Linked DNA regions of Arabidopsis thaliana. The protein of the gene in region 2 purifies or fractionates together with the protein of the main gene of each other region. This does not show direct contact. Each region holds a gene or a part of one and is shown on either strand. Other genes may lie near its edges.

Region 1 (4,799 bases), on a different chromosome or scaffold from region 2:
AACGTAAAGCAAGACCTATGTGGTCTAGTCTTCCCAACTATTGTTTTCCCTTTAAAGAATTAGTGTTAGTTCATTTAAATGCGTCTAGCCCATATATTTTGTATATTCATATGCTCTAACCTAAATAAAGTATTGGATCCGTCCATGTTTGTTTATAGAAGCAATTTTCATGTATTAAACCAAAAAAAAATCTCAGGCCGAAATCTGAACATGTTCATATAGATTAATAGATATATGTCTCCTATTATAACATTGATATTTGTGATTTAGGTTTCTTCTATTCGGTGGCTAGGGTTGATTCTTTCTTTTGGCATGTCATCTAGGGGCCAAAATCTGAACATGCTCATATAGATTAATAGATATATATGTGTGCGCATGAGAAAATTCCCAAAAAATGTTTTGTCCCACTTCTTCTCTGTAATTTGTCTCTCGAATATGTTCATATAGGTAGTAAGAGCATGCCCATTGGTTAGACTCTTAATTGGAGTCGTTAACATTTTTAATATTAAATTTTGATAATTTGAAAGTTAAGAATTATTGATAAGTCCTTAGTATTATTATTGTCCAATGGTAAAAATTTTAAGTGAGTTTCTTAAAAATTAAAGTTTTTTTTTTGAAATTATGTATTTGATTAAACTTTATAATTAAAATAAATATGAAATTTGTAAACATACATTATAACAGAAACGAAAAAGAAAAAAAAATACAACGCAAAAACTTGAATAACGATTAGATTTAAACTTGATTGTAAACATACATCATAACAAAAAAAAAATTACCAATGAGAATTTGACACGTCAGCGCACCTTAACCTCACAAAAAACTCTAAGCTAATTAAGGTGCATTTCTTAGTTTATATCACATTATTGATTTATTTATTGCATATTTCTTAAGGATTTTTAGCTAAGAAACGTTTAAGAATCACCACTGGGAGTGCTCTTAACAAAACAAGTCTTTTGAATTATAATATTCGGTTCTATTGTTTTAGAGCTTTCTTTCTTGAGTACTTAGTTTAAATTTTCTCTCAGGTCATATGGCCATGTATTAGGAATGTGAACGTTGGTGATGGATAAATGCATCTATATTCATATTTGAACGTACGTTTGAATTAATGTATGGTGATCGACAACGAGCGAAACTGCATACTTCTCTTGTTTACTTTGCAGAAAAATGTATCTATATTCATATGTATTAACTTTTTAAAAGTTGGGTAAAAGAAAAAATCTAAAAGTTTGAATTAATGTATACTAGACGTGGCCTTGTCAAATCCTGTTAAAGTTGATCAATAAGCGTACATAGACGAGCACATATAAAATCATACAATTTCATATTTCGTGGGATGAAATTGAATTGAGTAGTACTTATTTTCCTTAATTTTTTTTTCTTCTTAATTTTCTTTGTTGCCAGAAAAATGCTTAATGTATACATTATGCTGAGATGGGATTTCCAATTACACATTACTAATAAAAGAAAATTTTCCTTTTAAAATATGTCATTACAAAAGTTTTTCTTTTTGGTTTAAAAATATAAAGTTAAAGGTGATGGACAAAATTAAAAGTAATGAGATAAGCACATTATTCTTTTCGTATTCTAAGCAATAAAAAAATGGACCATCAACCATTCCAATCAAATGACTTAAGGTAGATGTGACCATCGACTAAAATATCTTATATTATTCATATGAACACGAGTTTTATAAATTGGTACACGTAAATTTACAATAATAGTAGTAGTCAACCATCTGTCTTCCAATTCACTTAGACAAGGTTTCATTCCTCGGTAAGATAAAATGAATTCACATCGTGTACCCGCATAAATAGAAACAAACATACACATTACCAAATAACTTCATCTTCGTCCACACAAAAAATGGACATTAAAGAAGATGACGAGTCTCGAGTTATAACACCAACCGAGCTTCAACTTCATGATTCAGTTACTGCAAGAACAGGTAAATCTGTTAGTAATCATATAATCCATAATCATTAGTAATCAATCAAATAATTATTACGTTGTGTTTTCTTGTAAAGGAACGTTATGGACGGCGGTGGCACATATAATAACAGGAGTGATAGGAGCTGGAGTGTTGTCGTTGGCTTGGGCCACGGCGGAGCTCGGCTGGATCGCTGGTCCGGCCGCCCTTATAGCCTTCGCCGGGGTCACACTTCTCTCTGCTTTTCTTCTTTCCGATTGCTACCGTTTCCCTGATCCTAACAACGGTCCCCTCCGACTCAATTCTTACTCTCAAGCCGTTAAATTGTATTTAGGTCAACTTCAAAACTAATATTTCCGATAAGTTCAACTAGCGTACTATCTTGCCACCTAATGGAAAAGTTTTCAAAATCACGAGTTTAAATACATGCAATAAGAAATAACAAACTAATTTGGTCCGGAAAACTAAATTTTTATTTTAGTTGTAATTTAAATTTATTCATATGGGTAATTTTGATTTGCAGGGAAGAAGAATGAAATTGTATGTGGAGTCGTTGTATACATTTCCCTTTTTGGTTGTGGCATTGCTTATACCATTGTTATAGCTACATGCAGTAGGTAATAACATATGTAAACATATTTCAACTGTTGTTCTATTTCCTAGGAATTTTTTATTTTCCAATATTGATACGTAGAGTTTTTTGTTTTTCATTTCATTACAGAGCAATTATGAAATCGAATTGTTATCATAGAAATGGACACAATGCAACATGTTCATATGGAGACAACAACAACTACTTCATGGTTTTGTTTGGTTTGACTCAGATATTTATGTCACAAATACCTAATTTCCACAACATGGTATGGCTCTCTCTTGTCGCCGCTATTATGTCTTTTACTTACTCGTTCATTGGCATCGGCCTCGCCCTTGGCAAAATCATAGGTATAGATATTACTTTTTCTTTGTCAATTTTGATTTTGAGTATAAAATTATTTTGAGATGGGGGAAGACAATCAAATAACTTTGTTTTTGAAATGAAGAGAATCGAAAAATTGAGGGAAGTATAAGGGGAATACCAGCAGAAAACAGAGGTGAAAAGGTATGGATAGTGTTCCAAGCTCTTGGGAACATTGCCTTTTCATATCCTTTCTCAATCATACTTCTTGAGATTCAGGTAAATAATTTTACCTTCATGCATAATGACGCCAAGTAAGATTAATTAACACATTAAATAGCACTACTCTTAGAGATCAAGAAACCTTTTTTTTACGTGTGTTAAATGAAAATTAAGGACAGGACACATTGAGATCACCACCGGCAGAGAAGCAAACGATGAAGAAAGCCTCGACGGTTGCGGTATTCATCCAAACATTCTTCTTCTTCTGTTGTGGATGTTTTGGGTACGCGGCCTTTGGAGATTCCACCCCGGGAAATCTCTTGACCGGTTTCGGCTTCTATGAGCCATTCTGGCTCGTCGATTTCGCCAACGCTTGCATTGTTCTTCATTTAGTTGGTGGATATCAGGTATCTCAGAAACCCCTTGCCCATCTAACCAACATGCTCGTTGATTTTTATGTTTTCGTTCACATTTTAGAAAACAAACTACCATTCTAGTATTTTAGACAAAATATTTTTGGTTACTATGTGTCATTTTAACGTTTGCGTTTATGATTCACAAAATAAATTGTGTAAAATACCAAAAGAGGTTTTAAGTTGTTATGTAACATGTTCTAAAGCAAACAAACAATCGAGATCTAAAATCTTCCATACATTTCTAAAATATAGAATGACATTTTAGGTATACAGTCAACCAATTTTCGCGGCTGCGGAGAGATCGCTAACCAAGAAATATCCGGAAAATAAGTTTATCGCCAGATTCTACGGATTCAAACTGCCATTGTTGCGAGGAGAGACGGTGAGATTGAACCCAATGAGGATGTGTTTGAGAACGATGTACGTGTTGATCACAACGGGAGTGGCAGTGATGTTTCCCTACTTCAATGAAGTATTAGGAGTGGTGGGGGCACTTGCATTTTGGCCTCTGGCAGTGTATTTTCCTGTGGAGATGTGTATATTGCAGAAGAAAATCCGAAGTTGGACGCGACCATGGCTTCTTCTTAGAGGTTTCAGCTTTGTGTGCTTGCTCGTCTGTCTCTTGTCTCTTGTTGGATCTATTTATGGACTTGTTGGAGCTAAATTCGGATGATTAGCCAATGCCGATGTGATGTAGCGATCCTACTCTAGTTAATTGATAAATAAATGTGAGATCCGTTACAACTTATGTAAATGTAATTCGTATTTAGTATGAAATTTTGATTTTTAATGAATTAACTCTAAAGACGAATTTCCTACCATGTTTTATATTTTAAAACTACCATAAACAATCAAGGCCCCAAAATTATTGGAAAAGATTCAATCAAGGCCCCAAAATTATTTTTTTTCGGTAAGGTAGTCAATTCGTGTTGTCGTTATAGAACATGTGGTTTTGTCAAAAAAAAAAAAGTTTAAAATCAAATTTAATGTGTTTATAAATAATATAGTTCTTCGAGACGGATCGGTCTCTCCGAAATGAATCCACGTGATTGTGAATGAACAAAGGCGGTAGGTAAGGTAGTAAATAATTGACATTAAACACTAATATTATAACCTTCTCGTGTACAAAAACGTGGGGTTTAATATATATGGATATATATAATTTATGCAGGCCCTGGTCCAGAGCATCATATGCTAGTTATGATCCTATCTACTTATTCTGTAGATTATAAAATAGCAGACTTGCATAGAAACATAACATGTATTACAAACTTGTTTAGTCAAACTTGAAGAAGAAAAAAAATCTTTTTAAAGAGCTTTGAAGATCCATGGC
Region 2 (7,362 bases):
GGTTAAGTTTTATCAAGCGGTGAGAGGGACATTGGAGACAGAGGATATGTTTGTAACAACAGACTGTTTAGTCACATGCTCATAGTGGAAGTAGAGTTGCGATATAGACACTCAAGGTCACACTTCTCAGGTGTATATAGTTTTTACATTAAAGGTTTCATATATATGAGTAGATCTGGTTGACTTAATTCTTGGGAAACCTAGAATTGTTATGTTGTTCCAAAAGCTTTATACAACGTTATCAATACAATGGAGTTTTGTCTTTATGATTATGTGAAACAGTAATATTACTCAGTGGTTAAACACACAGAAAAAAACCAACACACCTAATCAAAGAATCACCATTAGCCTGAGTTTTCTTAATATCCGGCTAGAGTCCATGTAAATGTTGTATCTCCCTGCAATTTCCGAGTAAGGATGAACAAGATCAGTTCAATAGAGAAAACGAATAGAAAACAAGTTTTCAGCTCATGAACATATGTATATATATACACACCTTTAGACTGGTCAGGCTTGCCATGACTTTTGTATAGTTCAACTTAGAGAGGGAGTTTATCTAAGGGCTTCAAGACTGCGACGTTACTGCGATCTGGATTTATGTACTTCTCATAAGTGACCCTCAGGTTTCCTGTTTTAGCAGCTTTGTGAAACCTTAAGATCATGTCAGAACAGTCCCTGTGATAAGAAAATTGTGTAAGATTAGTTAAAGAATGTAACTAGTCTAAGTGATCTACAAGGAGGAGTTATTAATGAGATTTTAACTTACTTCATCTGGGAGACATTGTAGTGGGTATGGTTGTTTAGGAGCGAGGTCCAAACTGGAGTCATATGCAAAGTGCATCTGGCAACATAAATGGCTGATGCACATAGCAGTGATGGCTTATACTTCAAAGCTTCGTACTCAACCAAACACAACTCGATAAGGTAGAAGGCGAGTTGTTCAAGCTGATAATAGAAATAATACTATTCAATGTCTACCTATTCAAACAGAAGAATTTTATAGGTTATTAAAGCATACAATGCAGGTTTTTCGCGTACCTTCTTATTGGATTGAGCAGCTTTTAGGAACCTCAACATGAAAACATAGGGGGTGGGTGCATTCAAACGGAACTTTAACTGTTTAAGCATACTTCTCTCCTGAAAATGAAAATTAGGATAAGTTACAAGGGGAAATACGCAAATGACCCGTATTTTTTATAAAGAATAGAGAAGTTTGACTATAAACAGAGTTCATTATATACCATTCCCAAGATTTGTTCTCTGGTGTATGATTCTGCGGATATGCTGATCAAGTCTTTGATCTGCACATGGACAAAGAAAATAGATTGTAAATGTCTATTTTCAGGAGAGGTATTAGCTTTCAGGATAAATGTCTCTTACCCTAGGATGCCAGTAGTCCTCATATTTAGATGCCAATAAGAGTGCAGTAAGACCTATCAATTGCATCTCATTTTTATGTATTGGAACTTGGGAGAGGTAACGGTCTAATAAGTCCATTGTCAGGTAAAGAGTCTCATGCATTAGATCAAATTTGAAATGAACCTGCAAACAATAAGTAAAACCTAAGTTTCCACAAGAAGAAGTAGGGATAATATCAAGTTGAAATGGAACCAAAAATATACTGCACTCACTTCGATAAGCCAGTTGATCAAAATTCCACGCGTAACTGGACTGACTTCTGCATGAGCTGACAAGTAATGTCCCAAAGCTGGATTTAATGCCTGCAACAATATTTCACGTTAAGCTACTGGAAAGCTAAAATTCAATATTCAAACTGCAAGTAAAATTACCAAATTAGTAATATTAGAGAAAAAGAAGTTGATGTATGTGGAAGAAATAAGTGGATTACTTCTGCAGTCCAATAGAACTGATATATGTCATCCACATATTCTGCAACTTCCAGCTGATTGGATTCATCATCAATGCTTGGAAGTTTTTCTGGCTCTGTGGTTTCACCATTTTTCTCATCGAACTGCAAGTAAAATTACCAAATTAGTAATATTAGAGAAAAAGAAGTCACAAGAAACAACACAACTAATAAATTACGAACCTTTGATCCATTCACTAGTAGAGATGTGAAAGACTTTCTACGTTTTGATTTTGGCTTCGCTGTAACATCCAACACTTTTGTTGTTGGGTCTTTGTTTCCACTAGATGAACTCTCTCCTTGAGTGTCTTCTTCAAGACATTTTGTCTCAACCTTTTCCGGAAGTGACAGTGTTGAGGCAACTGCAGAAGAAGGGATTGAAGAAATAGATCTTGATTTACTTCTACCCACTGGGGGCTTCTTAAGAGAGCTACGGTTTTGTAGCGAAGTCTTTACAGTTGTCTGGATCTTGAGTAAGAGAGAAAGCTTATCACATATTTAATAAACAAAAATCCTCAATACGACTGTAACTATTGCCCGATGAAATGATCACGAGCAAGAAAACAAAGATGAAAGAAGAATGATTTAGCAGTTCAATGATGATAATAGCCAAGGCCAAATAGTGTGGCTTTAATGGAAATGAATCACTTGCATAGATATGAAAGGACTAAGGTGTATACCTTGATAGATTTCCTTACGAAACGGACGTTATTCTTACTCTGCTTATTGCCGTCCCTAAGCATGTAAAGAAAATAAACTTAGCAACTTGGGATATAAGTTGCTGCCCACAAACGATAAAAGAAAAAAATAATCTGATTCTCCAAGATGTAAAAAAGTCGTGCATTGATAATGAAAATGCAAACAAGGATTCTGTGAATGTAGACAATTTGATAGTTGGAAGTAGACATGTGTGATACGCAAGAGAGAAACAACTTCACTTATTTAATGATGATATCAGAATTAAGCATATTTACTTACGATTGTATAGAGCCGACACTTGTTCGAGTTTTCCAAGTATAGGTTCCGGCACTGCTTAGCTGCGGGACAGCTTGGTTGCTGGCTTTACTGGCTGAAACAATGCAACATCAATCATATCAGATACTGACCAATCAAGTTACAATTTTAACATACACATTTCCATCAGAAGTTAGAAAAGAAATCCATGTTACCTAGACCCTGACCCAATTGTTTCGAATTTAAGCCTGAGACATTGAACTGCGCCAAGATAGTAAATACACAATTAGTAAACTGTCCTAAATGATTAGCCTCACGAGTTGTTGTACAGCCAGTTGTAAGAAAAAAAAACAATCTCAAATTAGATTGATAACAACCTTTTTTAAGCTCTTATCTGTGAGGCTTGTTCTCTTTAAAGTTGGTAAGGACTTTCTGCAAGCACAAATCAATCAAGGAAGTTAATCAATGAATGATGTAAATCATTCTCAGCAGATACTAAAGAAAATGGCTGGTAGATTAATAATGTTTTCGCTATGGTGAATGAACAACAGGTTACTTGATGAGAGCTTTGACATATTGATAGGTAATGTAGGGCATAAACAAGATATCTATTTTTTCTTGGAAAATTCTTCAAACTAGTCTGGAAGCGGATAATCTATTATGCATGAGATTAGCACGAAGGTACCTTGTTCCACCAGCCGTTGATCCAAGGCTCAAGGTTTTGTTTTTGATGAATTTCTGACCTAAAATATGATTTAAAACAAAGTTAAGATAAATGGCAAAGATCAACTAAAGCCATAGCCATGAAAACAAACATAACATTTAGGAAGTCACCTGTCTTGTAAAGGTTATTGTTCCCAAGTTCGGTGGTTCTTTTACTCACATTCTCCTATATCAGAAAAAAGAAACAATCTAGAATCAAGGCTTGCAAGAAAAATGAAGGAAATGGCCATCAAGTAGTTTAACTGATGAATCTCATGCTTTAAGACACAAAGTTTGTAATATTTGCTGTAACTCATATGCTGATGAATTGTGATATTCTGGTTAATCTCATAACTGCATCTAGTCATAGTAATTTGCAAGTATACAACATGATATAGTTTGCCAATACGCTTGCTATACCTTAGTAGACTTTTTCACTGAGATATTATTAGCTCTGGTTGGACCAACTGAGACCCTACACATGGAAAGGTCAATTAGCCCAGCATCATCAACTCATTTTCAAACATCAGATATTATATACATGGAACTGTACGGATTCGTTCTGTAAAAGCTCATCAACTGAGATGAACGACTAATCCTAAGTAGAGATGTAACGTATTGCATGTATATGATGTGTATAGCAGCAGCTAACGATTACTGCATACCTTTTCGGATTTGCCATTTTTACACCTTTCCATTTCCTGCATTGTTGCATGTTCAGTAGAATAGTTTTAGAACAGAATGCAAATCAGTACAATAAAAACTAACTAACTGATTAAGAAGTGAAGACCATGGCAGTTAATAACTCTTTTCCATGAGGGATAACAAAAAACCCTTAAAAGTTAAGCAATTTTACATGGTACTGCTGCCACAAAGCGTTGGAATCCTTAGAGTGTTCCCACCAAGATTACTTAAATCAGCCAAAGCTTTTCTTGTGACTTTAGTGTATTCCTCTGAAAAGGAGACAAATATCGGAGTTAACTTTCAAAACTAGGTCCCAAAAATGTAATGAAGATATACTCTCCCTTATAAAGCTTACCCCAGTTTTCAATACTGCTTTTGCCCTTTCCTGTGATTCTCGAATTTTCCTTCTTTTTGAATCAAAACAAAAGTGCATTAACATGTGAATAAGTGCATAACATCCAACACTTGTATGAACTCAGAAACAGGGAAAAGGGATAAACCTTCATATTGTTTGTGTTAGAAGTTGCTCCTAAACCATTGCTAATTGTTACAGACTTTCTCCTAAACAATGTAAAAGCAGAAGATTAATTCTTACAGATTCGTAAAGTCAATTTCTTCATGATCAAGCCAAAATATGCACCAGTAAATACATCATGTAATGGATGGAAGAAAACAGAATAATTGTAAAAACAGCAACACAAACCTCAAAGGAATACGAGTCTTCTTCTGTGAAGTACCTCTGCAGAAAGAAATAGGTACAGTTTAATCCAGATTAACAAATAGCAACAGTTTAATTCAGATTACTGAAAGATGAATTGCAAGAGGATCCACTTACATTGTACTGGCTGGATCAGTTTTCTGATTATCGGAGAAGATTTTGAAACTCCTAGTACTCACTGTTTAACATGTAAACATTTTTTTAGAACTGAATAAGGTTCACCAAGTAACTAACAGAGGATAAAATAGTCTCTCTTACCTCGATTTCCAAGAATATCATCTCTACTTAGTCGTGGTGCCTACAAAAGTAAATCAATCGTAAGTGAAATAAGAAGCAAGGCTTTATCCCCTGTGATTTTAAGATGAAGTTGATCTAACTAACCAAATCTGAGAGTAGTAAGCTACTGAAAACTCAAGAATCTAATCTTGTGATAAAAGAAGCAGAAATAGGCAAATACCATAATATCTTCTATCTTCGAAACAATTCAAGATCCCTAATCCTAATCTCGTTTAAAATAACAAGCCCTCGCTCGAATCTCAAATTCATCTGCGATGAACGTAGTAACCCTAACTCGTTTTTTGAAGAAATTAGGATTTTCACGTACCTTCGCGAACGCCATTTTCCTCAAATCTCCAGATCTTCTGCTTTGTTCTTCCCAGAAACCCAATTGCAAGAGAGTTCTACCGTTGCAAATTCCCAAAAGTAGCGACGCCGCTTCTCAAGTATTTGAAATTGAGCCTATCTAATTTACGATTATGCCCCTTCTGTTGCTACGTATTTTCTGCTTTTGTTTGGGCTTTGTTTACCCAAGCCCATTTTAATCCAACCTAGAGCTTGTCAGACCCATCATTCTATTATTCTGAAAAAATAAAATAAAAGAACTTCACTGTTTGCATTTTGTTAGTTTGTTCAGTTTCTCAGAGGATACTGTGCAAGTGCAACAACATAAATTTCAAGTCCATAGAAAGAAACCATGCATTATGTAAAAAAACTTAAAGAAAAGACTACAAGATCAGGTATAGAAAAAGTGCTTTATGTTGACATAAAAAGTAATTTAACTTCTAATTGTTGTTTATTTCTTCAAAAATAAAACAAACTTAGACATTTGATATCATATCAGGCAACATCAGCTACTTTGAATATACATTAGTCACTGTGGAGAGATGTGTTTTGCCAAATAATGCTTATTGCTCCGACAAGATTGAAATATTATCAAGAAGATGTAGTTGCACCCAAAGTGACGTACGGACCTGCAAAATGCAGAAAAGAATCAGCAAATGATGAGAAAACAAACAAAGAGAGTTCAACATTTCTATCTTGATTTATCGGTCACTAACACACCCTTTGATTCTAATCACGATAAGGCGTGAGATCGATTTGGAACTGTTGTTTCCCCTTTGTGACACTCTGCAAAGATGTTATAAGAGCCAATGTTACAACAAAAGGAAACAGATTAAATTTTTATGGGATAATGTAAAGGGCTTACCGCGATTGCAATGAGCTCTTCTAGCAGTTCTTCTAGATGACGCAGAGGCTGAACGGGAAGAAAAACGATGATCAAGAATGCATTGTGTTAGACTAATGGATATGGTCTGAAAAAAAGTAAAACTCACCCATTGTGTTGGACCATCGACCGGTGCATTTAAAGGATCATCATGCACCTAATTCACCGGAAAATGAACCAAGTTTCATAACCAAATTGGAACAAAGATTCAGCGAGATGACAAAACTTGCGATAAAGTTGGATACCTCCATGAAAATTCCATCGACACCAACAGCTACGGCGGTTCTTGCTATGCATGGTATTAATTCGCGAAGGCCACCACTAGCAACACCCCCACCATCTAACTATATAAACAAGGTATGTTTGAGTTTAGACCAATTCTGATTTAGCTTTAAAACACCAAGCATTTTCTTAAATTACTCAGAGCATCGTTCTAATGACCATACCTTCTTGCCTGCAGGTTGTTGTAATGAATGAGTTATATCAGCAACCTGAAGCCAATAACTAAATTATATTATACGAGTGTCAAAACATCAAAGTATAAAGCCAAAGCCAAGATATAAACTCCCACAACAAGAAAAGAACAAGAAGCAATATTAACTCACAACGGGACAATCAGCTTCCCTCATCCATTCCAAATTTCGTGGATCTACTATTAAATCATCTGAGGAACAAAATTAAAATGTAAGGACACTCAGGAGTTATATCCAGTGTCTTTTAGTCTATTTTAGTCTCTATTTGCAAAAAAATTGGTGAATTCTATTGACACAAAGAACAGTTAACTTACTGTATCCAAACATGGTTCCTCTTTCACAAACCATCACATTTGGATTCCCTGCGAGTCTAACCTTCTCAGCCGAGTTTCTCATGACCTTAAAATGGATATACATGAAATCAGTCACTACAATATACCAGGGAACAAAAGTTTGTACA

What was found.
Region 1: the proteins of CYCB3;1 (region 2) and AAP7 purify together in Arabidopsis thaliana (affinity purification with mass spectrometry, with the first as the bait; one large-scale study listed by BioGRID). This does not show direct contact.

The regions. Positions count from the first base shown.
Region 1 is NC_003076.8:8,026,592-8,031,390, forward strand, and holds AAP7 (amino acid permease 7), read left to right. Parts: upstream 1-1,646; 5' UTR 1,647-1,869; coding exon 1,870-1,951; intron 1,952-2,030; coding exon 2,031-2,267; intron 2,268-2,456; coding exon 2,457-2,550; intron 2,551-2,654; coding exon 2,655-2,875; coding exon of another isoform or gene 2,876-2,931; exon of another isoform or gene 2,932-2,973; coding exon 2,974-3,107; coding exon of another isoform or gene 3,108-3,146; exon of another isoform or gene 3,147-3,229; coding exon 3,230-3,457; coding exon of another isoform or gene 3,458-3,547; exon of another isoform or gene 3,548-3,572; intron 3,573-3,731; coding exon 3,732-4,139; 3' UTR 4,140-4,297; downstream 4,298-4,799. Other genes in the region: AT5G23820 (MD-2-related lipid recognition domain-containing protein), read left to right, coding at 4,795-4,799. UniProt on the Arabidopsis thaliana protein: Amino acid-proton symporter. Stereospecific transporter with a broad specificity for neutral amino acids.
Region 2 is NC_003070.9:5,581,848-5,589,209, forward strand, and holds CYCB3;1 (cyclin b3;1), read right to left. Parts: upstream 5,615-7,362; 5' UTR 5,545-5,614; coding exon 5,530-5,544; intron 5,224-5,529; coding exon 5,184-5,223; intron 5,104-5,183; coding exon 5,043-5,103; intron 4,947-5,042; coding exon 4,911-4,946; intron 4,769-4,910; coding exon 4,708-4,768; intron 4,615-4,707; coding exon 4,563-4,614; intron 4,477-4,562; coding exon 4,380-4,476; intron 4,225-4,379; coding exon 4,189-4,224; intron 3,999-4,188; coding exon 3,944-3,998; intron 3,711-3,943; coding exon 3,656-3,710; intron 3,565-3,655; coding exon 3,507-3,564; intron 3,254-3,506; coding exon 3,199-3,253; intron 3,083-3,198; coding exon 3,037-3,082; intron 2,937-3,036; coding exon 2,846-2,936; intron 2,603-2,845; coding exon 2,548-2,602; intron 2,336-2,547; coding exon 2,051-2,335; intron 1,973-2,050; coding exon 1,850-1,972; intron 1,722-1,849; coding exon 1,632-1,721; intron 1,543-1,631; coding exon 1,381-1,542; intron 1,302-1,380; and 8 more. Other genes in the region: AT1G16320 (plant/protein (DUF2358)), read left to right, coding at 1-85; ATKDSA2 (Aldolase superfamily protein), read right to left, coding at 6,276-6,332, 6,412-6,459, 6,539-6,586, 6,675-6,773, 6,876-6,920, 7,035-7,093, 7,217-7,301.